Linked DNA regions of Alligator mississippiensis. The protein of the gene in region 1 purifies or fractionates together with the protein of each later gene. This does not show direct contact. Links are inferred from orthologs where the notes say so. Each region holds a gene or a part of one and is shown in the gene's direction. Other genes may lie near its edges.

The links.
Region 2: the proteins of ANAPC2 (region 1) and ANAPC7 fractionate together in Homo sapiens (co-fractionation; 6 studies listed by BioGRID and IntAct, with this or other methods). This does not show direct contact. The link is inferred for Alligator mississippiensis from reciprocal best matches to the Homo sapiens genes ANAPC2 and ANAPC7.
Region 3: the proteins of ANAPC2 (region 1) and ANAPC1 fractionate together in Homo sapiens (co-fractionation; 8 studies listed by BioGRID and IntAct, with this or other methods). This does not show direct contact. The link is inferred for Alligator mississippiensis from reciprocal best matches to the Homo sapiens genes ANAPC2 and ANAPC1.

What each region holds. Positions count from the first base shown.
Region 1 is NC_081835.1:47,567,382-47,577,463, reverse strand, and holds the start of ANAPC2 (anaphase-promoting complex subunit 2), read left to right. Parts: upstream 1-3,893; 5' UTR 3,894-3,909; coding exon 3,910-3,996; intron 3,997-4,808; coding exon 4,809-5,431; intron 5,432-8,829; coding exon 8,830-8,962; intron 8,963-10,082. Other genes in the region: microtubule nucleation factor SSNA1, read right to left, coding at 3,470-3,669, 3,767-3,818. UniProt on the Homo sapiens protein: Together with the RING-H2 protein ANAPC11, constitutes the catalytic component of the anaphase promoting complex/cyclosome (APC/C), a cell cycle-regulated E3 ubiquitin ligase that controls progression through mitosis and the G1 phase of the cell cycle.
Region 2 is NC_081833.1:2,205,081-2,215,171, forward strand, and holds the start of ANAPC7 (anaphase-promoting complex subunit 7), read left to right. Parts: upstream 1-5,238; 5' UTR 5,239-5,309; coding exon 5,310-5,410; intron 5,411-5,820; exon of another isoform or gene 5,821-6,190; coding exon of another isoform or gene 6,191-6,204; intron 6,205-6,681; coding exon 6,682-6,868; intron 6,869-7,237; coding exon 7,238-7,357; intron 7,358-9,081; coding exon 9,082-9,193; intron 9,194-9,437; coding exon 9,438-9,591; intron 9,592-10,091. Other genes in the region: ARPC3 (actin-related protein 2/3 complex subunit 3), read left to right, coding at 356-482, 912-1,006, 2,616-2,678. UniProt on the Homo sapiens protein: Component of the anaphase promoting complex/cyclosome (APC/C), a cell cycle-regulated E3 ubiquitin ligase that controls progression through mitosis and the G1 phase of the cell cycle.
Region 3 is NC_081824.1:237,109,464-237,119,523, forward strand, and holds the start of ANAPC1 (anaphase-promoting complex subunit 1), read left to right. Parts: upstream 1-5,418; 5' UTR 5,419-5,539; intron 5,540-6,003; 5' UTR 6,004-6,027; coding exon 6,028-6,240; intron 6,241-9,522; coding exon 9,523-9,684; intron 9,685-9,847; coding exon 9,848-9,899; intron 9,900-10,023; coding exon 10,024-10,060. UniProt on the Homo sapiens protein: Component of the anaphase promoting complex/cyclosome (APC/C), a cell cycle-regulated E3 ubiquitin ligase that controls progression through mitosis and the G1 phase of the cell cycle.

The sequences.
Region 1 (10,082 bases):
CTTTATAGTCAAGAGGAATTTTCTACCACTGCAGTCTTTAAAACTTCTAGGAAGAGCAAGCTAGTGGTTTGATGCTGGAATTGTTAGGGAAGGGTTATTTTGCCTGTGTTTTGGAGGAAGTCAAATGGAATGATTGCAATGGCCATTTATTAATATTCACAGATGTTAAGGCTGGGAGGGACCATTGTGGCTTCCTACCGGAGAACCTCCCCCTGTGACTCCTGCATTAAACCAGCAACAAGGGGATGAACAGGAGGTTTTTTAGAAAGATGCACAAATCCTTGATTTAAGGATGCCAAGTGACAGAATCTGTCACATCCCATGGTCAGCTGCTAAGTACTCTCACTACTAAAAAAAGTGTACCAGGCTTTTGGATTATGTTCCGCCTTGTCTGCTCCAGTGAAGGGCACTCTGCTAAATCTTTTCCCTAGCCAGATATTTTGTCTCAAGTTCTCTCTCACTTTTCTCTTTATTATAAGTTCCTTAGTCTTTTGCAAGCTAGGATTTCCAGAGCTTGGATCATTCTTGTAACTCTCTTCTGATGACTTTCCTGTACGTGGACATTTTTTTCTTGGTACGGAGGAGGCAATACTCAGTAGTTGTCTCACTGATGCTGTACACAAGGGCAATACCATCTCTACCTCAACTCAGCTTTCACAGGAACATATGGCTAAGGCTTGCATTAGATCTGTTAGGCACAGCACTGGGCTAGTACACATTCAGCCAGTTCCCACCGTGGCCAATAGGGCTGTGCAAAGCTTCGGGTGGTGATTTGATTCAGAGGAGATTTGGCCCGATTCAGTGGCCCAATCACTGAATCTGAATTGAATCAGGGGACCAATTAACATTAAAGGTCTGAATCAATTCAAAGCTCTCCAAATCTCCTTGGAAGAGCCCCCCCACGTGGCATAGGGCAGCAGGGATTGCCCCGCCAGCAGGAAGGTGAGTCTGGGGTTTTTCTCATTTTTTTTTTTCTTCTTAAAGGGCCAGAACCACAGCGAGTAGAGCAGCCACAGGGAAGCTGGGGGGCAAAGGGGGGCAGAGGTTTCGTGCAGAGCCCCCCACGGGGCAGTGGGGAGCAGTGGGGATTGCTTCCCCAACTGGCAGCACCTGCTGAGTCGGGGCTTCTTTTTTTTCAAAATGCCGGGAGCTGGGGTGGGCTGGGAGAGCGGACAGGGGATGGGCCTGGGCCATTCAGAGATTTGACAGGAGCCAAATCTCTGAATCGATTTCGGGCAAATCAATTCGGGACAGTGATTCAAATCACCAAATCGAAACACTGTCCCCCGAATTGGCCAAATCCGAAGCGAATGCTGGCCACTTCACACAGGCCTAATGGCCAATAACGAATGCTCTTTCATGGCTTGCCAGTGAGACCTGTTTTTTAATTTCTACATAAATAAACTTGTATCTGGCAGCTGCATGGGTCTTGGACCCCCATGGGATTTTGCAGTTTACTTATCCCTCCTTCCTGCCAGAGTAGCAGTACCTGCTTGACCCACTTTCTGCAGACACTATCCTCTTTGCCCCACAACCCACATATCTGGAAAGGGAAATGTCTCCTTGCCCTGCTACATAGTTTTTCCAAGCTCCATTCGTTACACTCATACACTAAGTACTAAGGGACTAAAGCACAGTTCACACACAAGCCACAACATGATTGTGCCGTGACAACTGCAAGTGCCATGAGCTTTTCACACCCTTCCAGTCTTCCCATAACTCAAACATGGCAACACTGGAGAAACAATGCAAGGCAGCGCTTCTGCCATGACAACGCAACAGCCTTAAGGGTTCCCCTGGGGACAACACAGAGCTTACTCCTCCCAAAGCTCTTTGTCCCTTGTGATCTAGGACAGTGGTTCTCTACCTTTTTTGGACAAGGACCCATTTGTAAACATCAATGGCCAGGCCCAACCCACTGCCCCCCACCCCCAGGCCCCCAGTACGTGGGGCATGGGGGCCCCTAAGTAGCCCCTTGGAAGCTGGAACTCTGCCAGTCTGCAAGGGAAGAGCCTCGGTTTTCCACGTTTTTCTCCTCTAAAAGAGAATCCATTTTTTAAGTTTGTTGATCAATTTTTAAAGTTTGTTCACAACCCTTTTATATAGTCTTGTGACCAACTTTTGGGTCACAACCAACAGAGTGAGAAACACTGATCTAGGACAATCAGCAGCAAATGCTCTCTGAAGCCATAATGCTGCCTTGAGCACAGTGAAGGTCACTATGATCAGTAGTCCTCATCTAAAGAGGGGAAGGCTCAGAGGAGATAAGAGATTAAGAATGGGTAAGCTACTAAGAGTCGTGCCTGGAAGGCCACTGGGAGAGGGGCGAGGCAAACATAGAGAGAAAGACAGACCCCAGCACAAAATCCCACAGCAGTGAAGACAAGTTCAAGTTTCTTCTTCCTCCACTATTTTGATTTCCTTCACAACCCTTATTATTGACCATGATCCATGCTTGTACCCTGGGCTAGACAGAACCATTAATTCCTGGTAACTGTGGGTCTTCAAGAATTGACTCTCTACATTCACAGTTGTGAGACAGCACTCCCTAGGGTGAGCTCACAAGATCCTCCTCTAAGCCCTGTCCATTACAAGATGCCCAAGTACCCTTTAGCTGACTGAGCCATTTGGTGCACAAGGCTAAAGAAGGGATGCACAGCTACACTTGCTGCTGCCAGCTCTTCTTGACAGTGTGCCGAATTATGGCTATCTACAGCGGGGGTGGCCAACCTACGGCACGAGTACTGCAAGTTGCATGGGCATCCTTTGTGCGGCCTGTGCCGGCGGAGGGGTCAGGCAGCACAGCAGTAGATGGAGCAGGGAGCAGATCAGACTGGGATCACAAAGCAGAGAGCTGGCTGAAAGCAGAGGAAGAGACTGGGCACTGGGAGCAAAGGGCAGGGAGCAGAAGGCAGAGCTGCAGATAGGGCAGGGAAAGGGGATCAGTGACACCCAGGGAGGGCACGGGGCTAATCTGCGGCATAAGAAAGGTTGGCCCCGCACTACTCTAGAGCAGCGGCTCTCCAGGCCGGCCTGTCCTACCCTGCGGCCAAGGGGCCGTGCCCGCTTGCCGCCTGCGCCACCCTGAAAGGGCTCCATGCAGGCAGGGAGCCCCTTCCCCGCCCAGCCCCACTCCCGCCCCAGCCCCCCGCACCCACCTCGCAGCCCGGCCCATTTCATTTCAGCCAGTTTCTACCGCAGCTGTGATTTTCCCACGGATGGGGGGGCCCCAAAACTACATGCTGCAGCCCCCCCAGAATATCACGGTGCTTCTCAACCTTTTTTGTACCAGGCCCCATTTGTAAACATCAGTGGCCCGTCCCGACCCGGCGCCCTCTCCCCAGGCCGGGACCCCGGCGTGCGGGGCGGGCTGCAAAGGGAAAGTCCCCAGGTGCCGCTTCTGCAGGAGGAGGCGTGTTTGCAGCCGGCTCAGGGCGGTTTCCCGCGCCCCGCGGGGCCGAGGCGCTACCTTGCCGTAGGCCGCCTCGGTCTCGGCGATGGTGCGCTCGAACTCGTTGCGCGTGGCCATCTTGCGGGCCAGCCCCTCGTTGAGGCGGGCCAGGCGCTCGGTCAGCAGCCGGATGTCGCTCTGCAGCTTGCCCTTCTCCTCCTCCTCGCGCGCGATCTGCCGGCCCAGCTCGTCCCGCCGCGCGCACAGCTCCTCGATGCCTGCGCCACACGGGGGGCACGGCGCTCAGCGCCCGCGGCCCCCGCCACCGCCGCGCCGCGCCCCGGCCCCAGCCCCAGCCCCGCACCCGGCCCTCACACTTGACCAGCTCGTTGTTGTAGCTCTGCAGCGCCGCCCCCTGCTGCGCCATCGCCGCCCCGGCCCCGGCCCCGGCCCCGCGCCACCAACGGCCTCCTGCGCCCGCGCCGCCCCGCCCCGTCCCGCCCCGCTCCGCTCGGCCCATGGCGGCGGCGGCCCCCGGCGCGGGGCTCTCGGCGGGCTGGCACGCGCTGGGCGCCGGCCTCGTGCCGCCCGCCGCGCTGGGGCTGGTGAGTGCGGGCCGGGGGGCGGCGGAGCGCAGCCCCGCTCCTTCCCCGCGCCTGGTCTCGGGGGTTTTGTTTTGAGCCCCGCCGGGCGGCTGTGGGGCGATGCCCCGGCTCCCAGAGAGGGGCGAGCGGGCCCGCAGGCCTCGAGGGGGCGGGGGGGCGCAGTCTCTTGGGGCCTGGGGATGTCTTAGGAAAAGGCCCCTTGCGGCAAGTCACAGCTCCCAGCGTTGACATTTGTCACGGGATTTCCGCGGGGGCGCGAGGGGGGCGCGTAGCAGGTGCGCGCGCGGTCGTCTCCGACGTGGCCGCCGTTCCGGCCTCCTGCTCACGGGTACGTAAGGAGGGTGCCCCACTCCTTGTGCTCTGTAATCGCCCTCGAAGTGCAGCGATGCCGTGGAAGGCCTCGCCCTGACGGCCCTGGCGCAGGACATCCTCGTGTGCTGGCTCAGGCTGGAGAGAGCCTGGCAGTGGCCCGTGACCCGCAGAGGGGATGGAGCGGGGCCCGTTCGGGTCACGGCTCCCATGTCAGCTGGGGATGCAGTCGGCATTAATACCACAACAGCAGTCGCCCTTGTGATGTGAACAGCGACCCATTAGGAGTGGGGCTGAGACCTCCGCCCCTCTGCCCAGGAGGGATGCCGGATGCCAGTTAGTTGGTAGCTTTCAGTCCCTGCTATGCCCTACTGTGGACAAGAGCAAAGGGTCGGCTGGTGAGTGGCTCCATCTGTAGACTGCCCCCTGAGTCCGGTTGTCTCTCCAGCCTCAGTCACCCTTCAGGAGTCCCTGCTTTCGTTTACCTTGGTGTCTCTCTCTAGGCAGCACCCAGGTCTGGACCAGTGGAACCGCTGAAGGACAGCGACTTGCAGGCCGCTTTGGAAGTGCTGCGGAGCTATGACTTGCACTGTGTCATAGAGGAATGGTTCATTCAAGTTTTACAGACAGATCTTCAGACAAATATAGCTCCTGAATTCTGGAACTGCATTGGCCAGTATGAAAACACAGCTGAGGAGCCCCAGTGCTCCTTACTCCTCCTGGATGCTTTTTGTCTGCTCAAGTGCCGCCTAGACCCTTATCTAAACAGTCTAGATCTTCTGGAAAAATGGACCAAAGCAGGCTTGCTCCTTGGAACGGGTTCCCAGATGCTACGAGAGAAAGTGTACACCATGTTTAAAGCCATCCTCTTCTTCTCCACTACAAAGACCTTCCAGGAGATGATCCAGCAGTTCTACAGCCGCACCTTCAGGATATATATGCAGCAGTGGAAGAAAGGAGAAGATGGAATGAATGAGTGTGAGAGCAGTATGAGTGAAAATGATCAAGAGAGTGATACAGAAGAGGGAGGAGGAGACAGCCAGCAGTGTGCAGGCTGCAACAGTAAGAAAGACCAGTGCTGGTGTCCCACAGCCATGGAGCAATTTCAGCAGCTCAGTGAGATCCTGTATGTATCCTGGAGGGAGGGAGGAAAGGGATTTGTTGGACAGAATCAATATACCATTTAGAAAGTAGACTGTCTACAGGCCTGTCATGGGTATGAAAGTCAGAAAGGTCCATCCTAACCTAGTCTGCTTCTTGCAAGGCATTGTCCAGAAAATCTTGCCCAGTGATTTCTGCATCTAGCCCATAACCTGTGGCTGAGCTACAGCAGATCTTTGACAAACAGGAGAGTGGTCCTGGTAACTGCTGTGAGATTATCACCTCCCTTTAGGCTTGTATTCCCTTTGGGGACAATGATTCTAGGCGAAATATTTTCTTTTCCCCAGATGCTAAAGATCTTGAACCTGCTGTTGTGGTTCAGTGGTTGAATCCTTGTCTGCCACATGAGAGACCTGGATTTGATTCTTGGATGCACCTATAACTACAGCTGTCGAGGCACCAAATGTCCATACTGTCTGGCCTTTGGATACTGTCTCAATGGGCTAAAGGGGGAATAGAAGGTCTGGGCACCCCCCCACTTCTCCATACTTGTAGCCAAATGCATTGAAGGTCCTTGTGACCTCTTGCGCATACACTGGGATCCAGAAGGGTCCACGTTTGCCTACTAAAGATCTTGAAGAAGTTGGCCAAATTTCAAGGTACTAAATAGTGCACACATACCCTGCGTGTGTAGTGTGGCCTCGTTAATGCTTCTGTTGGGACCTTAAGGATGATATGTAAGAGGCACTACATAAGGCCTGAACAGGAGTTTAGAAAATATTTGCTTGTTTTTCCATTAGAAAGCAGTTCTTATCTGCAGTGTGTTAGCTAGAGGATATTACAAGCAACTGGAGAGCTCGTGTGAATATAACCAGGGATCCGGGTTTTCCGTTTCCCATGGAAAAACAGAAAAATGCAGTTTCCCCCTTTACCCAAGGAAAACATGGATTTTTCATTTTAATGGAGAAACCCACAGATTTTGCACTTTTGCAAAGAGCTCTCTGCAGGCTGGTAGAGTTCCAGCCTGCAAGGGGCTGGGGGGAGCAGCAGGAGGGTGCTCAGGCAGGGGGTGTCATGTGTATGTATACACACATGGCCACCAGGCAGCCTGGAGAGCTGCTCTGCAGGTAGGTCTGGCAGCAGCAGGGGCAGGGAAGAGCGGAGGGGGATTGAAGCCCCCATAGGGAAGGGGGGAGTTGGGTGGGGGTGAGGCTGGGGCTGAAGCTGTTGCCCAGCCAGGAGGGTGTGTGGGGTGTGTGGCCTGGGGTCAGAACGCGCAGCTTCAGGGCCCTGGCGAGAAGCGGGACAGGGCCTGTGGGCACTTCGTTCAGGGGGTGGGGCCAGCTCCCCACCACTGTGCGCGCTCCTTGCAAGACAGGAGGCTCCCATACCCCCCAGATCTGTGCTCAGGGTAGGGGATTTGGGCAGGGGCGGGCTGCCTGCTGTGGGCTTGGGTTCCCCACCCTGCTGCCCTCCCCTGGGACCTCCACAGCCTGGTGGGTGTGATCCAGCAGGGCAGGGCAGGGCAGAGCAGGGCCTCGTGGGGAAGTTCGTTGCTGCTGAGAGCTCCACACTGCCCTGGCAAGGCATCCCCTGCCCACATGGCAGCAAAGAGGGGTACAACCCTACACCACTGCCCTCGTTGCTGCCATGCAGGCAGGGGGTGCCTTGCCAGGGCAGCCCAGAGCTTGCAGCAGCAGTGAGCTTCCGTGTGTAGCCCCGCTCTTTTTTGCCACACTGGGTCACACCTGCTGGGCTGCGGAGAGCCTGGGGGGGGGCAGTAGGGTGGGGAGCCCAAGCCCGCAGCAGGCAGCCCATCCCTGCGCCATGCACAGATCAGGGGGCACGAGTGAGCGCAGCGATGGGTAGCTGGCCCCACCCAAGCCCACAGCTGGCAGGGGAGGGGGTGTGCTCCGCTTCACTCCGCTGCAGCAGCTGCCACCTCCTGTGGGTGGCAGCTGGGGCTGTGGAGCTGCTGCAAGGGGCAGAGCGCTGCGGACCTGGACCCCTGGCCCTGTAACCCTGCCAGCTGGGGGCCCACTCTGGTATGGCTAGGGGGGCAGGGGGCTGTGGGTGGGGGGTGAGGGACACCAGCAGGGCTGGGGGAGCTGTGCGGAGGAGTGAGGGGCACTGGCAAGGTCCAGCGGGCTGTGGGTGAGCATTGAGGAGCACCAGCAGGGCTGGGGGGGCTGTGGCTTGGGAGTGAGGGACCTGGACCTGTGTTCTGTGAGCTAAGGGGGCAGAGGGAGCTCTGATTTTCCATGATAACCCAAAATCAAATACCAAAATTTATAGGTGTTTAGAACTTATTTAATTATAATGATTGAGGCACAGGTAGGCTTCCAAATTCCTTTAAATGATAAATATTATCAAGAAAGTATTGTGTTCAACTGATACCTCTCTCTCGCTCTCTCTCTCTCTCTCTCTATTAGTGCCCTTTCATTTTAATCATGGAGTTTTAATAAGAAATTTTGCGGGTTTTTTATCAGACAATTTGCAGGTTTTTTTATTGGGGAAAACCAGGATCCCTGGATATAAAACAGCAAGCAAAAGTGGATCCTGAACTCTGGAAAGGTTCAGGGATTCCTATTCTGTTTAAAACCTCTGGCTTTTTATTTTTTATATCAACTTTATACAAGCTCCAGATAGTCCCTTTGCTGAAAATCTAGCCCTCCTCTCTTTACTTGAGGGGTGAGAGCTATCTCTCCAGTTCTCCAATCCATCAGCATGGACTGGAAGCAATGGCTTATGATTTTGTATGTCCTGAAGATTACTCCTAAAGAGTAAACCTGTTTATGCACTTGCTTTGCAGGTGATGTTTGACTCCTAGGTTTTTTTTCCTTCTTGCATAGCTGCAATCTGGGGCCCAATAGTAGCATGTGCTATGAACACGTAACACAAATAGCCGAAATTAAAATGTACCTGGAACTGTTAAACATTTAGCTCTTTACAATATCATATGTTAGAAATAAATGAAATGTTTAAAGCTATGACTCCTTACTTCCTCTGCACTGCTTGAAAAATCTTTGAAAAAGCAGTGTGTTTGTAAGTTTTTGGAAAGGAGTTTCTTTCCTGCCTAGATCTTGCAAAATGCTTATGCTCTTTAATTAGTCCTAGCTGATTAATTATTGATGATATAAATTTGGGTCCAGTTGCCTCATTTTTATTTTTGCTTCCTATTGGATGACAATCCTCCCCAAATAGCCATCCTGCTGACTGAGAAAAACCAATTCTCTTCACAGACTAGAAGCCAGGTGATCCAGCTAGAAATGTACACCATGACGGTTGCCCTGAAGTAGACACACAATTTTACCCTCTTCTAGGTGGGGATCATCTTCCCTTCTTCCCAGGCTCCATTATTAGGCATTTGCTTTGTGCTTTTCTCTGTGTGCTGTAAACGAAGCCCCCTCTCTATATCTGCAGCCACAGGCTGAACCTGTTGGAAAGGGTGAGTTCTGATGCTGTGACAACTATCCTGCACAAGATGATTGAGGAGAGGATGGAGCGGAGATGCAGGGGTGAATACGAGCGCTCTTTTCTGAACGAGTTCCAGGAGGTAAGCCCCACACTGACTAGGGACTGTCACTAAGGCAACATGTGCCCACTTCAGTTGCAAGTTAAAGAGGCTTATTTTCATATCAGCTTATTTGGAAAAGGCCTTGTCTGATCATCCAGGATCCCCAGTGGCTGGTAGAAGAGATAGCGAAAGCTCTGCATTTCTGTTTAAAGCCAGAAAGCACCATTAGATTATCTAACCCAGGGGTAGGCAGCCCCCAGCACATGTGCCAGTGTGGCTTGTGAAGGCATTTTGCTTGGCATGCACATCTTGGGGTGGATGGTAGGGAAGTAGCCAGGGCTGTACTACCACAACAAAGATTGAGCCCCTTGCAGTTCCCTGACGTCCACTCCTGGCACACCAACATCTTACAAGTTGAGGTTGAAACTATTTTTGGCACTCTGCCAAAAACCATTGCTGATCCCTGATCTAACCTGATTCCCTGTGTATTACAGGAAGTAATAATATTTCACTCGGTTTCACCCATATTAATTAAGAATTCATTCAGGGACAGCCCAGGTTATACAGGGTGATCCCAGCTGCCCCTTCTTTTGTCACTGAATCTAAGGAAAGAATCCAGGAACATGTTGGGATAAAGCATATCTTCCCAGGAGCTGGCAGTCTTGGATTTGAAGGCAACTAAGGATGGAGAATCTACCATGTCTTTTGGTGGTTTATTCCAATGGTTGCTCACCCTCATTGCTTAGGTTCCACTCTCAGTCATCATGTCCTGTTATGTTTTTCTCTATGAGAGTAAGGAGCCCTTTAGTATCCATTATCCAACGCCTCAAGAAATGTACTGAAGCAGCCCTGCGGAGTCACATGGCAATCTGCTGGCTTTGTCAATATAAAGACTGAGTTTTTAAGGCTCTCTTGACAGGCATTTTCTCCAGCTCTCAAATAACTTTCATCGTTTTTTTGTACCTTTTCCAGTTTTTCAGCATCTTTTTACAAATGCTGGCCCTATCCCAGGCTGGATGCTGCTTTAGTCCAGTGTCTGTCTCACCGGTGCCATACACAGAAGCGAAATCACCTCATGGCTTCCCTGGCTGCAAGGATCATGCTAGCCATTTTTGCCAGCAGCTTATGGGGAACACATGTGGAGTTGTTTATCTATTGT
Region 2 (10,091 bases), on another chromosome or scaffold:
TCAGTATAACAGTTCACACTGGGGGTTATACTGGTGCATCTATTAGAAAGTACTTTGTACTACTAACCAAGAAGGGTTTATATCGGTACAGTCTATACGTGCAGCTGGCTTCAGGCCCGACTGCCAGAGCCCCTGGTAGTTCAGAAAACCTTTTGTTTTGTAGTAAGTGCACAGGGCCCCCAAACTGTGTAAAGAAACTTCTCATTTAATCAGGGACAAATACATAAGACACCTTCAGTATTTTCTCCCACGGGTAGTCCCGTATCAATATCCTAGTTAAGCTACATACTTTATATCTAAAGTGGTACAGCTTCTCTCGGTATGTTTGAACTGGTCTCTTTCCTGGCTTTTCCAGTGTAATTCCAAAGGCCAAGGAGAAAAGGAAATGTACACGCTGGGAATCACTAACTTCCCGATACCTGGGGAGCCTGGCTTTCCACTCAATGCCATCTATGCCAAACCTTCCAACAAGCAAGAGGACGGTAAGAACAAAAGCAGCCTTGTCACTTAACTTCAGGCTACAGCATGGATCCAACAGCCTGCTTTATTTCTGTGGCTGTCAAACTGCCTTGTGAATCAGTGGTCCTGCTTTCTCTGTGTACCTGGAGTCTGACTGAGTTTGGGACAGAGTTACTATGCTGTATCCCTGCTAATCCTGTCAAGTGAGCAGCTCTGCTCCAATCCCACAACACGGGAAACTAAACTGTGGTAATTTACCCTGCTGTGCTCAGGACTAAGCAACCCTGGCTCAGCAAGTGTTGAAAACAGAAGGTGATGCTAGGGGTGCAGACATTGCTAATCCACTCTTTAGCCAGCACATCAGATGGCTTTGCTGTTGGCTGCCAGAACTATTCTTAGACAGTATCTAACACTGCACACTCCAATCTGTATTGGTCCATGCTCTCTTCCAGAGGTGATGAGGGCCTACTTACAGCAGCTGAGACAAGAAACTGGACTTAGGCTTTGTGAAAAGGTGTTTGATCCCCAAAGTGACAAACCTAGCAAGGTAAGATGCTGTTCTCACAAACTGGTCAATACATTTTCTTTTTTTTAATCCCAGTTTTTTGGCCTCCATTTTTTTTCCTGATTAGTGGACACTTGGGGAATGTCAGCTTCAGGGGAAAAGAAAATAATTCTGGATTTGCTCCCTAAGGCATGTGTTTGGAGAACGGAAGTCAGAGGCAGCAGGGAGATGGATAGGAGGGTAGCGCCCTGTGATTTAGATGAGTCTGTAAGTGAGATGGTAGCAAAAGCCAGGCTAGGCTGCACAGGCAGAAGCATCCTGTCCAAGAACACAGAGGCAACAGTCTGTTTGTTGGTCAGTCCTGCAAAGTGCTAGGTCCCAGCTGGTCACACTCAACTGCATAGAAGAGAACGCGTCTGGCACTGAGGGTACTTGGCCTCTTCCATAGTGAGCGATGCAGTTCTTCCTGTGTGGGGAAAAGCACTTTGCTAACGGATGTATCGGTTAACGCAGGGATGGGCCATACGGTGGATCTGGCCAGTAGATTTCCCAGTGTTGCTGGGGCCGGTTTCCATGGAGATCTTGGGAGCGGCAGGGCTGTGCCAGTGTGGGGCCAGGGTTTCCATGCAGACGGCCCAAGCAGTGCTGGCAGAGAGCTGCTCCAGGGCTGGGGGTGGGATTTTGCAGTGGTGACAGCGTGGTCCAAACTGGGGCAGAGCCATGATTCACTACCTGCATGCCCCGCTCTGACAGTGGGGGCTGGAGCCAAGGCATCGCCACAAGCTCCTGGCCCTGGAACAGCTCCCTGCCCAGCCACTGCCCTGCCAGTGTTGCTTGGCGGTCTCCATGGAAACCCTGGACCCACTGCTTCTGGGGTCTCCATGGAAACTGGCTGCAGTGAGGCAGTCAGAGGCTGCTGGGAAAAGGGAGTCCACCATGGGTCTGAATGGGCCAGACTTCGCTCATCCCTGAGTTAACTCCTTCCTTTCATTTCTGCCTGCCTTGGTGTGTCGTTTCTGAGAAGAGGTTACAGCCTAGGGTAGATGCATTTTGCATATTTGCTCAGATGCTTAGGCCAGTTTTGAACAGTAACTTCAATATTATTGAGCTAGTTATGTTTCAGAATGAGTGTTGACTGCCTGATGTCTAGAGTCTGGTCCAGAGACTTGTGCATCAAAGGCAAGGAGTCATGTTTTTAAAGCAACTGGTATGGGGCTTTCTTAAATGGCCACTTCTGGGAAAGAAATAACTGAAAAGATTTCAGAGTTTTAAAGACCACGTCCACCCCCCCCAAATACTGCTTAGCTTCCAGATCTAGACTGGAACTGCATGCAGTACACTTTGAGGTGTGTATGTCTCTCCTTTTTTTCCAAATAAGCAAGATACTTGGAAGCTAACATTGAAACAACCACCTTAAAGAGTATTTTAATGCAAGTGTCCCAGTGTTACAATCTGAATTATCCTGTATTGCCTGCCTTGAGTGCCTAAAACTCGTTAAAGCCACTGTTGAAAACTGGATCCCTGGTCTGTGCAGAGTTGGGTTTTTACATAGTGGGTGTCAGGCAGAACACACAAGTCCTGCTTTGTTTACGTAGACTGCTTACTTGGAAACTCCTCTGGTATATCATCTCACTGTGGATTTCTCTCTTAGTGGTGGATCTGCTTTGTGAAGAGACAGTTCATGAATAAGAGCCTGTCAGGTCCAGGACAGTAAAGAAGCAAAGAGGAGTGGCAACAAGGTTAAGCAGTCTACAGCAAGGTGTAAAAAATATTTTGCTTTTGCTTCATACATGTTTTGTACCAAGGAAGAATAAGTGCTTATGAGGGAAAGCTGTCAGTCAATGCGGGGAGGTGGAGCAAAAGGACCCTTGAATCCTGTAAGTGAACAATATTAAGCTGGTGCTTAATAAACAATTTCTAACATGCTGTTTCAGATCAATGCTGCTTTTATTATCAGTTGCCTCATATATAATGTGTCTTACATGTGTCCTGCAGTTACTCTGCTGGCTAGAGTCATTGCCACTTAGGCTGTATTGTAAAGCATGGTGAATTTTACTCCTTTTTCTAATAAACTTAGCTTATTTCACATGATACCTGTTTTATCTCTTATGAACGTGGATAGCTATACAAAAATGAAAGCTTGATTTGTTATGTTTGTGCCAGCAAGCCTCAAGTAAATTTGAGGGTTTGTTTTATAGGAGCTGTAGAAACCTGTGGTAAGAAATGTTTCTTGCCCTGACAAGGTTACTGTCTAAATAACACAGATGGGAAAGGAAGGAGATGCAAGGGTAAATGGCTACCCAGGGTTACACAGGCACAGAGAGTAGAATCCTGGGATAAATTCTCGACGCCACTGAATGCGGCCAGGACTTCCCCCTGAGATCCAGGCCCCTACTTCAGTCGCTGGTCCGTCCTACTTTGGGACTCCAGAGTGCCACCCTTGCACTGGGAAGTCTCTCTCTCTCTCTGTCTCTGCTGGATTAAACACAAGGGATCCTGACCCTGAAGACTTTATTCAGGCCACTTTCTCTTCTGTGAGATGTTTTTCAATAAAGATCATATTGCAGTGAGCACTGTGATGATGCCACCTGCGTGAAGACCGGCGTCATTCTGGGCTGTAAGCTGCCATTGGCTATATAGTTGCATTAGGGCAACCGCTGACATATAGATGTAACTTGTTGTTCTAATTAAGGGAGATTTGCAGAAGACATCGAGTGTTGATCACCTCATAGCATTCTTCTTCTCAGGCAAGTGTTGCGCACTAAACAGGGGTGGAGCAGAAAGGGGAGTGGATGGCTTAGAGCTGGAACACTCAGAAAATAGCGAACAATACTTTGGACTGATAAGCTATTAAAGAAGAACACTTGGATGGGATGTCTACAGCTGGAATATGAAACCATCAGCAGTAAACTGAGTTGCTCAAATTTTGGATTTAAACAAAATCTGAGGTGTCAGGCTTAGCTTCACCTCTTACACTTTCTATCTATTTGAAATATACTGCCTGCTTACATATCAGATTAAAAGCCTGAAGAATTAATTTTGAAAAGTCAAGATTTTTACACTCATGCACTAAAAGCATTCATTCAGTTCTACTGTTGGCAGGAGTCCAATGGCTGCCTCTTGCAATGGGCACTCTTCTGTAGAGCACCCAGTGTGGAAGAAGGATGTTTTAGGAGGATGAAAGATTAAGCAGCTACTGGCGGAGAAGGCTGGTAGAAAGGCTGGAACGGGAAGGGTGGCTGAGGGTATTCTGCACCTCTAAAAAATCAGATCCTGGGTGATTGAAGTCTCAATGCACCCAGTAGTATAGTGCTGCCAGAGGCTCTGTCTTATGCTTAAGTAACCAGTGCTTGGTGCTGTGGCTTTCATACTAAGCCCTTGCAAAATGAAAAGGGAAGTGCTCCTGTAGAAAGCCGAGTAGAACTAATAGTAGGGCTGCAGTTTACAAACCTGTACTCGTTTATCCCAGCTCTTTGTAGCAGGGCCGTGCTCCTCTGCACCAATGCTCGTTCAGCAGTTACCGGCGCCACGCTCCACCCAGCTGCCCCTGCGGTCTCGCCAGCCACAACCCAACGCAGCAGCGCTGATCCTGAACCTCTTCGTTCGGACGGAGGAGACTGAGGATCGGCCCACCCTGGGCGAAGGAAAGAAAGACAAGATCCCCTCTGCGGCACCGGCCACATCTAACTGTCTTGCTGGGTTAAAAGCAGAGATCTACAGCAGTGTTTCCCACCCTTTTCCAGCCCCAGGCTCACTTGCATTAATAACAACTGCCCTGGCACACTTGTTAAGGCATTCCCCTTCCTCATACCTGTTGTAGCTCATTGCCATGACAAAACTCTGCATCTGTTCAGTGCTGATGGCACACTGGTTGGGAAACACCCCTCTGAGTCCTGTTCCACTTCCCCCCAGCCACAGCCGTTGCTCGTTCCTGTCCTCTGTTACTGACTGAGCAGCCGGCCTGAATTCACAAGGGCAGTGCGAGCACAGCTGCCAAAACTGCTGGCGAGCGCCGCACACGCGAGCGAGTCCCACTGCGCACGCGCACGCCGGCCACCAGCTGGCGTCTGCGCACTCCCCCTCCCTCGGCGCATGCGCGATCGGCATTACCCCTGAGGCGTCCTCCTTAGTGCCTGCTTGCAAAACTCCCCATTTGTGCCCGGCCGCGCGGCAAAGGGGGTGGGAGGGAGGTCTCAGTGGCAGGCATCAGCAGGGCGTGAATCCGAGGCGCGGGCACAGGCGCCATCCCCGGACTCCTATATCCTCCTGAGGGCGAGGCCCCCTCGGCGGCGCCATTTTGGAGGCTCGCGACGCCTCAGCCGCCCGGAGCCGCCTCAGCGCCGACATGAGCGTGGTGGAGCACGTGCGGGAGATGGCGGCTGCCGGGCTGCACTCCAACGTGCGCATCCTCAGCGGGCTGCTGCTCACCATGAGCGGCAACAACCCGTGAGTCGCGGGGCGGGGCGGGGCGGGGCGCCCGTTGGCGGTTGACGGTTGGCCGTTGGCGGTTGACAGTTGGCCGCGCCCACCTGTCCGTGCTCCTCCCCCGGGGCTGGATCGTCCCGTGCGCTGTGGGGGTTGCACTCGGAGCGAGGGTCTGGCAGGGAGCCCCCAAAATGATTGAAGGGCTGGGGGAAACCGCTCATCCTGAGAGACTTCTGTTGCCCTTCTCAAAACAGAGGTTGAGCGCGGCCTGGGCTAGTAAGCGAAGCCCTTCAGTGGTAGAAAATCTTGGGTCCAAAAAAACTCCCTTTAACCTAACAGAGAACGGCGTAACAAGAAGCGAGTTGAAGCCGGGCGATTCGAGGTGGGAAGGAGGGACCGATTTTGAACGGGCATGACTAACCTGGCAAAGGAAATCACGCATTTTATCTCTTGATGTCTTCGGATCAAGAACAGAGTTTTTTGAAGATGTTTTAACCGAGATAGTGACGGGTTCAGTACCGCGTGACTGGATAGCAGCGGCAGCGTTGTCTCTAGAGGAGCGGTTTGCGCGCCGTCAGTTTAAAACGATACAAACTTCAGTGCCACCAAAAAAGTTTCAGTTCAGAGTTACGTGGCACCAGCACGTTTTTGTCGTAAAGTCATTATAATAAATCTGTGAACGCGTACCGCTGGTGGTACGTGTACCGCGGTTTGGGAACTGGTGCTGTAGAGGCACAAGTTTGAGCATCGCTCCGGATTTGTACTGATTCTAAAATCCAAGTCCGCTTGCTCTTCAAGAGGATGATTCACAGAGGGTGCGTCTACATGAGATGTTTAACGCGCATTAGACTAATTCTACTGCGCATTAGGGCGGCTGGCAAAAACCATGCTAATGTACAGTAGACATAGTCTAATGTACATTAACGTCACAAAAAAATGTTCATCTGCGCTAATGTGCACTGGCACCGATTACAATGCATTAATACCTATTATTTTATTGCAGGTACTAAATTTAATGCGCCGTAACGACATGCATTAAAGAACATGTAAACGCACCCAGTATTCACCGCTCGGGAGTCATTAAAGACATGCTTAGGGTTGCTAAGGCTGTTCTCGCCTTGGGTTAAAGCACTTGTGAATGAAAGGTGCAAATGTTGCACTCATACGTCTTCCACTTCTGGGTCATAGCTAAGGGCCTCCTTCCTAACACTGAGAACTTAGGTTCTAGCAAATTTGTCCGTATCCTGTCATCAGACAGTTCAGTTAAGCATCACTTTTTTTTTTTCTTCCAGAGAGTTATTCTCCCCTTCTCAAAAGTACCAGCTGCTTGTGTATCATGCAGACTCCCTCTTTCATGACAAGGAGTATAGGAATGCTGTAAGTAAGTATACAATGGCCTTGCAGCAGAAGAAGGCATTAAGTAAAACTTCAAAAGTTAGACCCTCTACTGGGAATGCTGCATCAACTCCACAAAGTCAGGTACTTAGGCTGTTGGTGTGTTCATGTTGTGACATGGGCTGTTGGTGTGTTCATGTTGTGACTTTAGATTATAACATTGCTATACTAAAGTAGCCTGAATTTTTAGACTGTTTAACTACTAATGGCGCTGAACTCATGGAAAAAACATAAGATGGTTACCTGGGGCCAAAATTTTGCTTCTTAAATTTACAGTTTTCATTTAGAAGCTACAAAATAGCCTGAGTTATGCAAGTACAGCTTACCATCTTCCTTGCACTTTATTTATCTTTAATGAAAAATCTGATAGAAAACTTATGATTCAGCCATTTCTTTTCATGTAGTTAAAACAGCATTTGAGAGGTTATATTTTAGCAATCTGTTTTATTTTAGTGTCTGCCATCTGAAATTGAAGTGAAATATAAAATGGCTGAGTGTTACACAATGTTGAAGCAAGATAAAGATGCCATTGCTATCCTGGATGGAATTCCTTCAAGACAAAGAACCCCAAAGGTAAATCCCTGGATGTGTTTCTGGTCTGAGAAGACAGAGGGCAGGGCAGGGTGGCACCTTAAAGAGGGCACGGATACCAGAAAGGCATGATCTTTTGTAAACTACAGCCTACTTCCTCACATGCATCTAACATAGTAGATGTGGGCCGTAGCCAACAAAAGCTTATGCCCATGAACGAGTTATGCTGTAAGTGCCGCCCTGTCATGGTTTCTGTGTACCATCAGACTAAGGCAGCTAACTACCTCTCTCTGCTGAGAGGGTAGTTTGGGTATATTTGGAGCTTAATATTAATTTGGCCAGAATTGCAAATCTAGCTTTGTATATATAAAGACATCAACCCTTGGCACTTGTGGTTGCAACGTCCACATGAGAGATTTGGAAATGCTCCTTCAGTAGTTTATACTAGCTAAGTTCATTTAGCTCATTTCTTTAAAGCAGGAGATCGCAATATGGATTTTATTTGAAAAAAAATCACCTAACTAAAAGGAACTAAACGCTTGTGTGTCTTCCCCAGTTAATTCCTGTGAAAATTAGTGAGTAACTTACTAGTGGGAATTACAAAATCTCTCCTGTGTGAGGAAGAATAGACCCTTTAACTTCTAGTGGTATGTGTCTAACTCATTTAGGACTGAGGATTCTACCAGACTTACAAACATTCTGCTTTTGCCTGGTAGTCTGTTAACAATCCAAAACCTTTCATACCTGGTTTTTACTTTCCTCCAGACAAAGACTAATTGCTGTGCTGGTAAATACCCTAGCTCTGAGTATGGTGATCCTCCCACCAGATTCCTGAATGCTGCTAGGAGGACAGCTTGTGTAGGAAACGAAGTGCTGCTGTCTGTTGTGACCTCAGCAGCGTGTGCTTCTTGAGGCTGAAGAAAATTCCTGGCCTGATGAATAGAAGGGAAAAACCCAGCAACTATGTTCCCTCAAGATTCTTCTCCCCTGGTTTAATGGTAGTTTATGTAGTGCTAAATATTTAGATCACAGCAGCATGCAGAGCCAAAAATGTTGAGTCTTTTGCTTGCTGGCTCTGTCATCTAGTTAATCTCTTGAACCATTAACACCTTGTGCACTTTAACTGAGGTTTGACTGTTAGCATTACATTTTGGCCAGTGTAACTAACTACAAGGTGTCTTGCCATAAGCCAGACTTACTGCACAAAAATGAAAACATTGAGAGGCCAAGCAGTTTCTTCCCCTTGTATGTCAGCAAACCAAAATAACTGTGCCACAAAAGCTAGCTGCAGTGACCTGAATTTAAGCTATTTCCTGAGCAGTTAAGTTATTCAGAACCTAAATAAAAAACCTCCACCTCCCAAAGGTTACAGTTCTGGCAGCCTTTCCTCACTATGTAGAGAAAGCTGGTGAAAGGAAACCAACGTAAGATGCAGCTGTTTGTCAGGTATCACTTCCACATATGTAGATAGTTGCTTATATCAGGATTTAATATATGCAAAACTGAGGTTTTCAGAGGCCTTATGCAACTATAAAAGAATTACCTCAGTTTTTGCCTTCTGAATCAGAAGAAACACTTATTTTACAGGATACAAGGAATTGTAAAGCTGGGTTCATAACTTCTGTATTCTACTTAGAGCTGGAAAGATGGGGCTGTAATGAATCTAGGGCCTTCTCTCAGTGATGAACCTCTGCCCTACATAATTGTAGACTGGATTATCACAGCCAATACTTTTTTTTTTCTTTTTTTTCCCTCTCTCTCTACAGATTAACATGATGTTGGCAAATTTGTACAAGAAGGCAGGTCAGGAACGGTCGTCTGTTACAAGCTATAAAGAAGTGCTGAGGCAGTGTCCTCTAGCGCTTGATGCTATACTAGGTAGAGTTCTTTTTTTCTACCAAATACTTAAATATTTAATCTTAAACAATGTTATTACCGACATGCAGTGCTTGAGACTTAGTAAATGAGCAAATACAATCTAGGAATTATACAGGCAGTTATTTATAATAATCCGTATAAGTTTACAAAGCAATTAAATTGTCATTCTTTAAAACAGTTAGCTAACTTGTATTACCAACTGCATTGGTTACTTGAAACTTGACTGGTGTGTTTTTCTGAATAGGTTTGCTCTCCCTCTCAGTAAAAGGTGCAGAAGTGGCCTCTATGACAATGAATGTAATTCAGAGTATCCCCAACTTGGACTGGCTTTCAGTGTGGATCAAAGCATATGCTTTTGTGCACACTGGAGATAACACCAGAGCAATCAACACCATCTGGTAAGAATCAAGGTGAATTAAAGTGTTCTTGAATCGTTACTCTGCATAGGATGTTAATAGATTTAAACACATTGTTTGACATGGTATGGTGTGAATTTTGTGCTGTGTAGGGCTATACAGTCCCAATCTCTAAACATTCGTTGGATTTTGGCAGATGCCAAACGAAACATCTCAGGTCGGGGAGGGAGGAGGAGAGTGTCCCCCATATTGCAAGAATCTTGATTTGGAAGTCTGTGTAGCAGAAAAGTAATGATATTCTAGACTTACTGCCCAAGTTTGTGGCAAACCTTTTTAAAAGCGAGTTACTGTGAGCCCACCTCCCTAGTGTTTCATGTTACGAACTGTTTAACTTCTTGAACTACATCCAGAAGCAAGTTACTAGTGATGATCTGTAAAGCTTTTAGTGGGTCTAAGATTTGCTTTGATGACACACTGAGGTTTAACATGGCAGCACACACCATCTTAGCAAATGCTGCTTGCTTCTGGCAGCAGGATATTTT
Region 3 (10,060 bases), on another chromosome or scaffold:
AGTAGAGTTATATGAATTTAGATCAGCTGCACATTTTAAATCTGAAATAGGGATCAGATGGAATAGCTGCCTGCTCTAGCAGAGGACAGTACACCATGACCTAGATATGAGGTCCCTTTTAAATCTTTGCTGCTATGTAATCTGGCTCTGGGTGCAATGTACTTCCTGTCCAGAAAACCATGACATCCTAAAAATCCTACCTTTCTCCTTGTAAGGCAGAATGCTTGAGGAATATGATGGGGTACACTACACTCATTATTCAGTGCCTCTTGGGAAGTACCCTGCAGCTCTGTTGCACTTGGCCAAACAGTACACCCTGTGGGGAAGTCCTGTCAGGCAGCCATAATTAAAAAAAAAGTTAAAAACTACTTTTGGCTCCTAAATGTGATGCTGAGTACCCCTCCTAACTTGCAATCAGCTTTCTGTTTTTAAAGTGTTCACCTATGCTCACAACTAGAAGAAGCTGACAGAGGCCCTGATCCTGCTCTGGGTCCCATGTGGGTAGATATCTCTGCCTGCCTGGAGCCACACTGTACTTAGTGGGGCTCCAGCTTGGCGACTGGGCCCTCCCACAAGCAGCTTGTTCACATAACTGCAGAAGTCAAAAGTGTCTTCCTGTGACCCACTCCATGGAGTCTAGCTCACAGCATCTAACAGTCTTTGTCAGCTGTCTGTAAGTTCATTCTAAAGTAGTAAACCACCTGGCAGCATTAAGGCAACCACAAAAACAACCCCCCATCCTAGAAAACAGAGGAAGATTTTGTCCCCTTCTCTGCAGTTGACTCTATCCCTTTAAAAAAGATCAGAAGTTTCAGAGAAACAGACTGGAACACTTTTGAGCCTTAGCAAGTGCCCAGAGCTGAGTTTCTGTACCAGGAGCTTAAACAGAAGCTCTGATAGCTCTTGTGGGAGGGGAAACAAAACAGATGTTTGATCAGAAAGCAGTGGAGACTTAAGAGCTGTCCATTTATGTTCGGATTTTGTTTGGCTGTTCTTTATCTGGAGTTGAACTCTTAAGCTGTATGGAGCTGAAGAATTTACTAGTGCAAATGTTCTTAGTTGCAAGACATTTATGACACAATCTGGAAACTTAAAAAAGATTTTTATAGGGTGTCTTTAAAAAGATTTTTCTGTAAAGCTACTCATTCTCTAGCCCTCCTCTTGGGGGAGGGAATATGAGATGTTCCCTTTTAATGGAGGCTGCTTGGCATGGCAGCTTATTGTGGCTAGAAGGGCCAATTGCTTGATGAAAAAAAACTTGTACTCTTAAAGATGACTAGGTTCTTTAAAGGGATGACATAAGACTAGTTCAATATGGCTGTGAATTAGTGATGTAGTGACACTAGGGTCATTTTCAGTGATCTGGACATTACAGGGAAACTGAGACTGCAAATACGAATTTAGAATAGAAATGAGACTTTGAACTGCAAAAGAGAAATCATTATTATACATATTTATTTCTAATTCTTCCATCCACTTGTGGACTGTGGCCAGGGGCTGCTCAGTTAGGGGTTACCTGTAAACACCTTCTTCTGAAGCCCCCTCTACATGTTACAGGTATTGTGCAATTACTTTGATACCAGCTACACCTGCAAAGTAGTTATAATACACAATAAAAAGCTCCAACCAACTATAAAGTTAGACCTTGAAAATGTGTACAACTTTACAGCTGGTTGCTATCTAGCTTTAATTTGCATGTGTAAGCAGGGTCTCCCCTGCAGCTGGGAATCCTCTCAGCTGACAGACCTCCCAGCCACAGGGTTGCACCTTGCCTACTGTGAAACCCCCAGGCATGGGGGATTGTGGCTGCCTTGGTCCCCTGGGCCTGGGGGATTGCGGCAGCTGCAGTCTGCTGGGCCCAGGGGTGCATGGGGTTCCCTCACATTGTGGGTAGCCAGTTCACAATATAGTAACCAACTGGTCACTCTTATTTGTTTCATAACTGGGGAGATCAACTTCCAAAGAAATGGAAGGGAAGTGGCTTGCAGGCCAAAAGGTTGGAGGTAGAGGAGCTTCGCCCATCCTGTTTTCAGGGGCAGAATGTGTATCTGAGAATCCCAACTAGATAGTAGGCTTGAGACTTCTGCATTATGCCTGATTTACTTTCTCCCAGTAAACCCAGATGGCAGAGCATTCTTTCTGCATTGAGAAGTGCCCAGGTTCTGCCGCAGCAGCTCCTGTGCAATACCTCCCTGGATACCACGGTACAGACATGCCCAAGCTCCCTTACTTCTTGGAGATCCCTATCTCTCTTCTCTTTGAACAGCTGCCATTGCTCCTACCTCTACATCCCAGTAGTGGCAGCTGAGTTCCACCCTGAGCAAAACCTGCCACTATGGTGACAACACCAAGACAGAGAGCCCCGCTGCCTTGGTGAAAGCTGAGTGATAGCTTCCCTCTTCCAAGGCTGGTTCCCTGCTCTAATAATAACAGCAAAGGCACCCTGCCCCCTCATCCCAGGGGTGGATCCAGAGGGGGTGCAGTAGGGTGACTACATCCCTCTTTTGGACTGGATTGTGCTGCTGGAGCCTCTGGGGACTTCTTTTTAAGTGGACGAGAATCCTCCGTTCTCCTCCAGAGTCAGAGGCACATCTCCTCTCTTCCCCTTCCTCTGTTCCCCACCTGTCCTGCTCCTATTTCCACTTCCTGGGGAGGGGGTGGGGGGGGGTGAAATCTTCAGAGCTGATCCTACTCATTCCAACTGGGCTGCAGGGGAGAGGGGGAGGACAGGGGGCAGCCACAGTGCCTACTCCTGGGGGGAATGGGCAGAGTGGAGGAACCTAGCCCCTTCCTGTTGCTGCACTGTACCCAGCACAGAAGCATCCCCAGCTCTGGAACAAATGGGAAAACTGCAGTGACTGGGAAGGGGAGGGGAGGGCACCTGCCTTAGAGCATGCAGAGAAAAATCAGGGATGCTTACATGTTTGGGAACTTAAAAAAAGTCCTCAGAAGCTCTTGTAGGGTGGTGTGTCTGTACCAGTGGCTTCACATCCCACCTGCCTCCAAGCTGCCTCCCCCACTGTCAGTGACACGGGCAGCGTGGATGGCTCTGCCCCACACCCCTATACCTAACCACAGGGCCATTAGCATGCCTGGGCATTGCCTTACCCTGGGGCAGGGGCCTCCTGCCACAGCATCACTGTCCTCCATCTCCACCTCCATGGCGAAAGCCAGGTGGCAGCAGCAGGTCCCTTCCCTCTGGGCCACTGATACACTGCCAGGAGCTCTGCAGCAGGTCTAGTGTTGCCAGGTCTTAAGTATGAAATTATTGTATTTACTGAAAAACTACCATACACTGAAAAAAATTGCAAATGAATATACAAATAAGCCTTCTTATTTACTTTATATTGCTCATTGTAAGTCACCATGAGAACTGGGCCATCCAACTGGAAGCATTTCTTTATTTTGAGGTAAGCTGTCATAAGAAAATGCTGACAGCAAACCCAAAGGCCTGTTAAGACTCCTTGCAAGTGACTTGGGTTTTGAATATGCTGTCAATGAGCTGCCGCAAAAATAGGTACATTCTGAACACATTTTCTATTATTGATTGTCAGGGATCCTGGCTTTCTCTGAAAAAAAATCCCCAATTTCCAGTTTAAAAAAGTAACCCCAAATCCACGTTTCCATGATTAATATGGAATGCCTCTAATATATTGCAACAAGGTTCTTTGGGTAAAGCTGCTATTTCTTATTAGACCAACTCAAATAGTTGGAAAAAATTCTTGCTTCCTCAGCCTTACAAAGGTCTTGCTTGACCAATCTCATTTCCTTTTACGACCAGGTGACCTATCACCTGGACAAGGGGGAAGAGATTGGTGTCGTATATCCTGACTTTAAAAAAGCCTTTGATCTGGTATCCCAAGATCACCTCTTGGCAAAACTGGCTAGCTGTGGACTCAACCTCACCATGATCCACTGGCTGGGGAATTGGCTCTGCAGTAGGACCCAGAGGGTGGTGGTTGACAGAAGCCAATTGTCACAGTGCCCTGTGACCAGTGGGGTCCCTCAAGGCTCTGTCCTAGGGCCTCTACTGTTTAACATCTTTATCAGTGATGTAGACACTGGTGTCAGAAGCAGACTGGCCAAGTTCGCCAATGACACCAAACTCTGGGGTAAAGCATCCACACCTGAGGACAGGAGGGTGATCCAGGCAGATCTTGACAGGCTCATGAAATGGGCAGATGAGAACCTGATGGTGTTCAACACCCAAAAATGCAAGGTTCTCCACCTTGGGAGGAAAAACCTGCAGCATGCTTATAGGCTCGGCAGTGCTACGCTGGTTAGCACTACAGATGAAAGGGACTTGGCGGTCATGATTGACCACAAGATGAACATGAGCCTTAATGTGACGCTGCAGCTAGTAAAGCAAGCAAAATGCTGGCTTGCATCCATAGATGCTTCTCAAGCAAATCCCAGGACGTCATTCTCCTCTTGTACTCAGCCTTGATGAGGCCGCAGCTGGAGTACTGTGTCCAGTTTTGGGCTCCACAATTCAAAAAGGATGTGGAGAAGCTTGAGAGAGTCCAGAGAAGAACCACGCGCATGATCAGAGGTCAGGAAAACAGATCTTACGACGACAGGCTAAGAGCCATAGGACTCTTCAGCCTGGAAGAGTGCAGGCTCAGGGGCGATCTGATGGCCACCTATAAGTTTATCAGGGGTGCTCATCAGGATCTGGGGGAATGTCTGTTCACCAGAGTGCCCCAAGGGATGATAAGGTCGAACGGTCACAAACTCCGCTGGACCGTTTCAGGCTGGACATAAGGAAGAACTTTACTGCTTGAGCCCCCAAGGTTTGGAATAGACTGTCGTCGGGGGTGGTTCAACCACCTACTCTGAAAGCCTTCAAGACACATTTGGATGCTTATCTTGCTGGGATCCTATGATCCCTGCTGACTTCCTGCCCCTGGGTCAGGGGGCTAGCCTCGATGATCCTCCAGGGTCCCTTCCAGCTCAGCCCGAATGTCCGTGAAATCTATTAAATCTATGAAATACCCGAAAGCTTGCAAAGAATTTTTTTTCCAACTGCCTGAGTTGGTCTAATAAAAGATATTAGATTTACCCAAAGAGTCTTGTCTGCCTATGTCCTTAGACCAACACGGCTACAACCTACACAACTTATATAGCGAGAGAGAGAGTGGTGTTTCATTTTAGTCACGGAAAAATGTGGATGTGGGGTGTTTGTTTTTTTAAATCCGAAATGGGTTGGGTTTTTTTTAAGCAGAGAAAACCAGGGTCCCTGTTAATCATACATGGTGCGAAGGCTGAAGTGATGGCACCAACACCATCATTATGGTACATCCGTCTTGTCCCCTCCTCCCGGCCGTACCCCGCTGCCGCGACAACAGCCCGGAGGTCTCCCGCCCCCCGCCGCGGTGACGCAGCCTGCGAGCCGAGGAGGGTGGTGGGAATTCCAAGATGGCCGCGCCCGCGTGAGGCGCCGCTGGGGCTTGCGCTGCGCTCTGCGGAAGGAGCCCCGGTCCCGCTGCCGCCGCGCGCCCGCCCTCCCCCCGCCCCTCCTTTTTCCTGTGGCAGGCAGGTTCGTGCGCGCCCGAGCGCGTATGGGTAGCGGTCCCGGACACCTCACCGGGAGCTCAGGAAAGGGTCCCTCCAAAGCGGGGTTGGGCCAGGGCGGAGGCTTTTCTGTGGCCTCACTGTACAGTGGTTGGGAGGACAGAGCTGTGGGAAGGGTGGGACCGGTAAGGAGCTTGGCAGACAGTGCTGGAATCGCTGCTATCCTGGTGGTTTTCTTTGTGAAAACCTGGGACGCTTGGCTCAGGCTTCAGGAGAAATAGGAATAAGTGAGCAAGTCAGCTGGCAAGCAGAACTGTACACTACAGAACCTTGAAGAGCCTTGAAATGTGTTTCCCCGTATTTCTTTTTCTTGAAAATCCATGTTTACATGCAAAGGTTTTTTGTTGTGAACTGCTAAATATTACCTAGGTGATTTGCATGACATCGGAGGCGTGACTGGCACTGATGACTGTTTTGTCTTGGATTCAGAAATAATGTTGATATTTGGAACCCATGTCGAACAAGCATGAAGAGAGGGCAACGATGATTGCAGCCGGGGATTTGCAGGAGTTTGTTCCTTTTGGCCGTGACTACTGCAGGCACCACCCTAATGCCCTGAACCTTCAGCTGCGGGAGCTGCAGCCAGCTTCTGAGCTATGGTCCTCTGATGGAGCTGCTGGCCTTGTGGGATCTTTTCAGGAGGTGACAATCCACGAAAAACAGAAGGTAGAGTTGGACTTACTGATTAAACAATTATTCTGATGATTAAACCTAATGAGCTTGAAGAAAAAAACTTTTCATTAACTATTTGAACTATACGTACTAAAATACATAATATATGTACTAATATATGCTTAAACTCCAAATATTGAGGAACTCCCTCCAAAGAGCAAATAGGATAGCTGTATGTATTTGTTTAGGAAACGCATGTAAAAATATAGATAGTACATTTTACTGCACTGTTTCTCATTGCAGTGATGTGCTCTGGTTCAGCACAGTTGTTACATTTCTGTCTAGCCATGTGTAGTCACATGGGTTTCATTGATCTGGCTTCTACAAACAAGCTGCTGCAGTAACTACATCCACCCTATGAAGAAAAGGACAAAAGGGCAAGTTTACATACAAAAGCTATACCACATTAACTATTAGTATAAGAACACACTTCTGATGGGGATGCAGTTCTTCAGCTACAAGGCACAGATATAAACATGTCTACATTAGATTTTATACTGAGTTAATTAAAACTGTGAGGGAGAAGGGAAGTAAAAAATGGCAAAAATCAGTTTACATTTGTGCCAGGTAAATTAGCGAATGATGCAATTATTTCAGTGAGATGTCCAGTGGAAAAGTACAGAGAAGACGGGAAGAATTTTCACCTGGTGTTTGTTAACGTGGAAGAAGCACGTGACCATGTATCTATTAAGAGAAGTGGTGTGATATATGAGGGAACAACTAGTACTAGAGCTGTGTGAGGGTTGTGCAAAATGAGTGTAGAGGCTCAAAACCACAAATTAGAAGCGCACACTGGAAGGCGGGATTTCCCAGTCGAGGTTGGGGTTTGTCAAGGGTCAGCACTATGCCTGTTTTTTGTTTGCATTAGTTCTTGATATGTTCACCAGGAGCATTCAGAAGGATGACGTTGCATAATGTTTGTAGACTACGTGGTCGGTTTTGCAAAAGGCAGAGAATGATTTGAGCAGGGGGAGGGACATCCTGAAAAGGCATAGTCTATGGATCAGCAGAGAAAAATATGGAATACATGTCATGCACTTATTCAGGGAGTGCACCCCTGGGATTGGATGACCCACACACCTGCATATACGTTCAAGTACCCGAGCGCCATTGTGGAAAAAATAGAGACAGATGAGAAAATTAAGAACAGAATAAATAAAGGATAAAGTGGGGTTGGTTACCATGACTTACGATGTAAATTTTTTCTTCCAGATTAATTGGCATTTTTCTAAGAGTGGCAAGGCCAGTGCTATTGTATAGATCAGTGCTGGCCAACAAAGAAACAATAGTCGTCCATGATATGGGTGATGGAGATGAGGATGCTGATGTAGATTTATGTAGCCAGTAGGAAAGACTAAGAAAGGGAGAGAAATGATGACAGGCAAAGGTGACATCAAAGTGGGGACACACTTGGAGTAAGAACAGTGAGACTGATTTAATGGTTTTGATAGAAAGTGATGTTCCTAACCTACCATTAGATTAGTATGAAAATTGTGTGTAGGACAGGCCCCAAATAGTTCCCCCCACAGCAGCAATCTTACTTGTAATGATGCCTACTCCATTCCCTCCCTCCTACTTTGATGTATTCCATAACTGATTGTGAAACCCTAATACACAGATAAAATGTTGTACAATCAGGTGGGCAAAAGCTTTATGCCATCACAGGTGGCTGCGAAGTGTAAGATTCTATCTAAAGGAACAAAAAAATACTGCTTCTGACATCGTCCGTTTCTGCAAATTATGGATTAATCTTTTTTGTTTTTGTTTTTGTTAGTTTTTTGCATGTAAAAGAAGCAAAGCTTTTTTCTATTTTTGTCTGTCAGAATCTAGCTGGACATGTGTAATGTTTACAGCTATTCATAATCCATGATTTGAGATGTGTATGCATGAGTTTGTATGCAGCTGGGAAGGAATGTACCTCTGGTAAACCAAGCCCTTGGGTATCAGATAGAAGAGTGTTCCAGCACTCTAACTATAATATAACTGCGTTGTTCTCTTGGTTGGGAAAATATTGTGAGAGGGTAGTAAGGAAATAAGTCTGAGCATTTCATAATTGGTGCATATATCAGCAATCTCTGCAAACAAGCAGAAGAGCAAACAGGCATGGAGACCCCCCTCCTGCCCCCCCTTCTAAAAGAGGTTTCTAGGGCTGGTAGAGACGAGCTGGAAAGGAAAGCTTGGACTATATCCATTTACTTGTGGAGTTATTCTGCCTCTTTCGACTCCAGGCTGGCTCCAAGTTTAGATTTTTTGTAAGCACAAGGTTTTATAAAAGCTAAGGCTATTAGAAATATTTCTATACTTTTTTATTTTTAAACAATGAAAATAGTAATTTTGACATTTCAGTGATTGTTTGGGATGCAACCCAATCACTGCAGAAGTGAGAACTTGAATTTGAAACTAACCTTTAAGAAGTACAAAGATTAAATGGCATGGATTATAAAAAAATAAAAAATAAAATAAAATAGTTCAAGATAATTCATAATAATTCATTATAACTGGGGTTTGTGCATATGCCTTGGGTGTTTCAGAAGGCAGGGTAGATGATGAACCTTAAAAACTGACTTAAATAAGATATATAGGGCATAAGCTTTTGTGAACTTGAGTTTACAGCATCTGATGAAGTGAGAGGACACGCACAGAGCAGTGTATAAAGTGGAGTGAGTGATCTGAATACAAAAGGTGGTGGGGGGAGGGGGAGGAAGAATGGCAGGGCTGGGCAAGGCAAACAAGCATCCATAGAAATGAAGGGATCATGCAAGCTAATCTTGTTTTATATATATTTAGTTTGTCTGTGAAGTGCATATCTACCTTTTCTTCTGCCTGACTTCATACTAATGCAACTAACTACCTTTGGTATTGTAACCATCCCTCCCCTCCTGCTTTCCAAAGATTGCAAACAGACCAGGTTAAAACACCTGAAAAACTATTGGGTTGCCTGAAACACAGTAGCAACAATCCCTGAATTTCTTGCTGTAACAGAATGAGGACAGTGGACACAGTGGCTAATCTGTGTTTTGGTACACCACATAGCTGACCTCTCCTTTGATTGTAAGCAGAGTTTTTCAGTGTAACAGATATTATGTTTTCCCACTTCTAGAAAAGAGAAGTAGAAACCAAAATCTACTCTGCTCTGCAATAATAGCCAAAGACTTTATTTGACTGATTAATAAAACTAAAGCTAGACCCACCTTTAAGGTTGCACTAGACTTGTGGCTAAATCATCCTTCAGTTGATAGGAGTGTGTAATGTTTTCTTAAAACTTATGATTTACAGGAGAGTTGGCAGCTGAGGAAAGGAGTCAGTGATGTCGGTGAAGAAGTGGACTATGATGAAGAATTGTATGTGGCTGGCAATGTGGTCATTTGGAGCAAAGGAAGTAAAAGCCAAGCCTCTACTGTTTATAAGGCTTTCACTGTGGATAGTCCTGTTTTACAGGTATGCACAGTTTGAAGTTATGGTCATTGAATGGGTGCATATTAGCTAATCAATACTAGCTAACTCATTCTAAACTTTCAATGCCTTGGAGCAGAATGAAAACATTGTATGAATAGAAATGGTGTATTTAGTTTTTTAATATCAGACTGTCATTCTTTTTTAGGCATTGTGGTGTGATTTCACCATACCACAGGAAAAATGTGGAAAGGATGACAGTAAGTTTCATTTTAATTTTTATTGTAGTGCCAAATTAATAGTTTATCCTAGTTTAATTTTGTTAACTTGAGAAATAAACTATTCATTTTAGAGCTAAAAATACCTGTTTATATTTTCCATCAGTTTCAGACAGCAATGAAATGGTAGAGAAATGTATCTG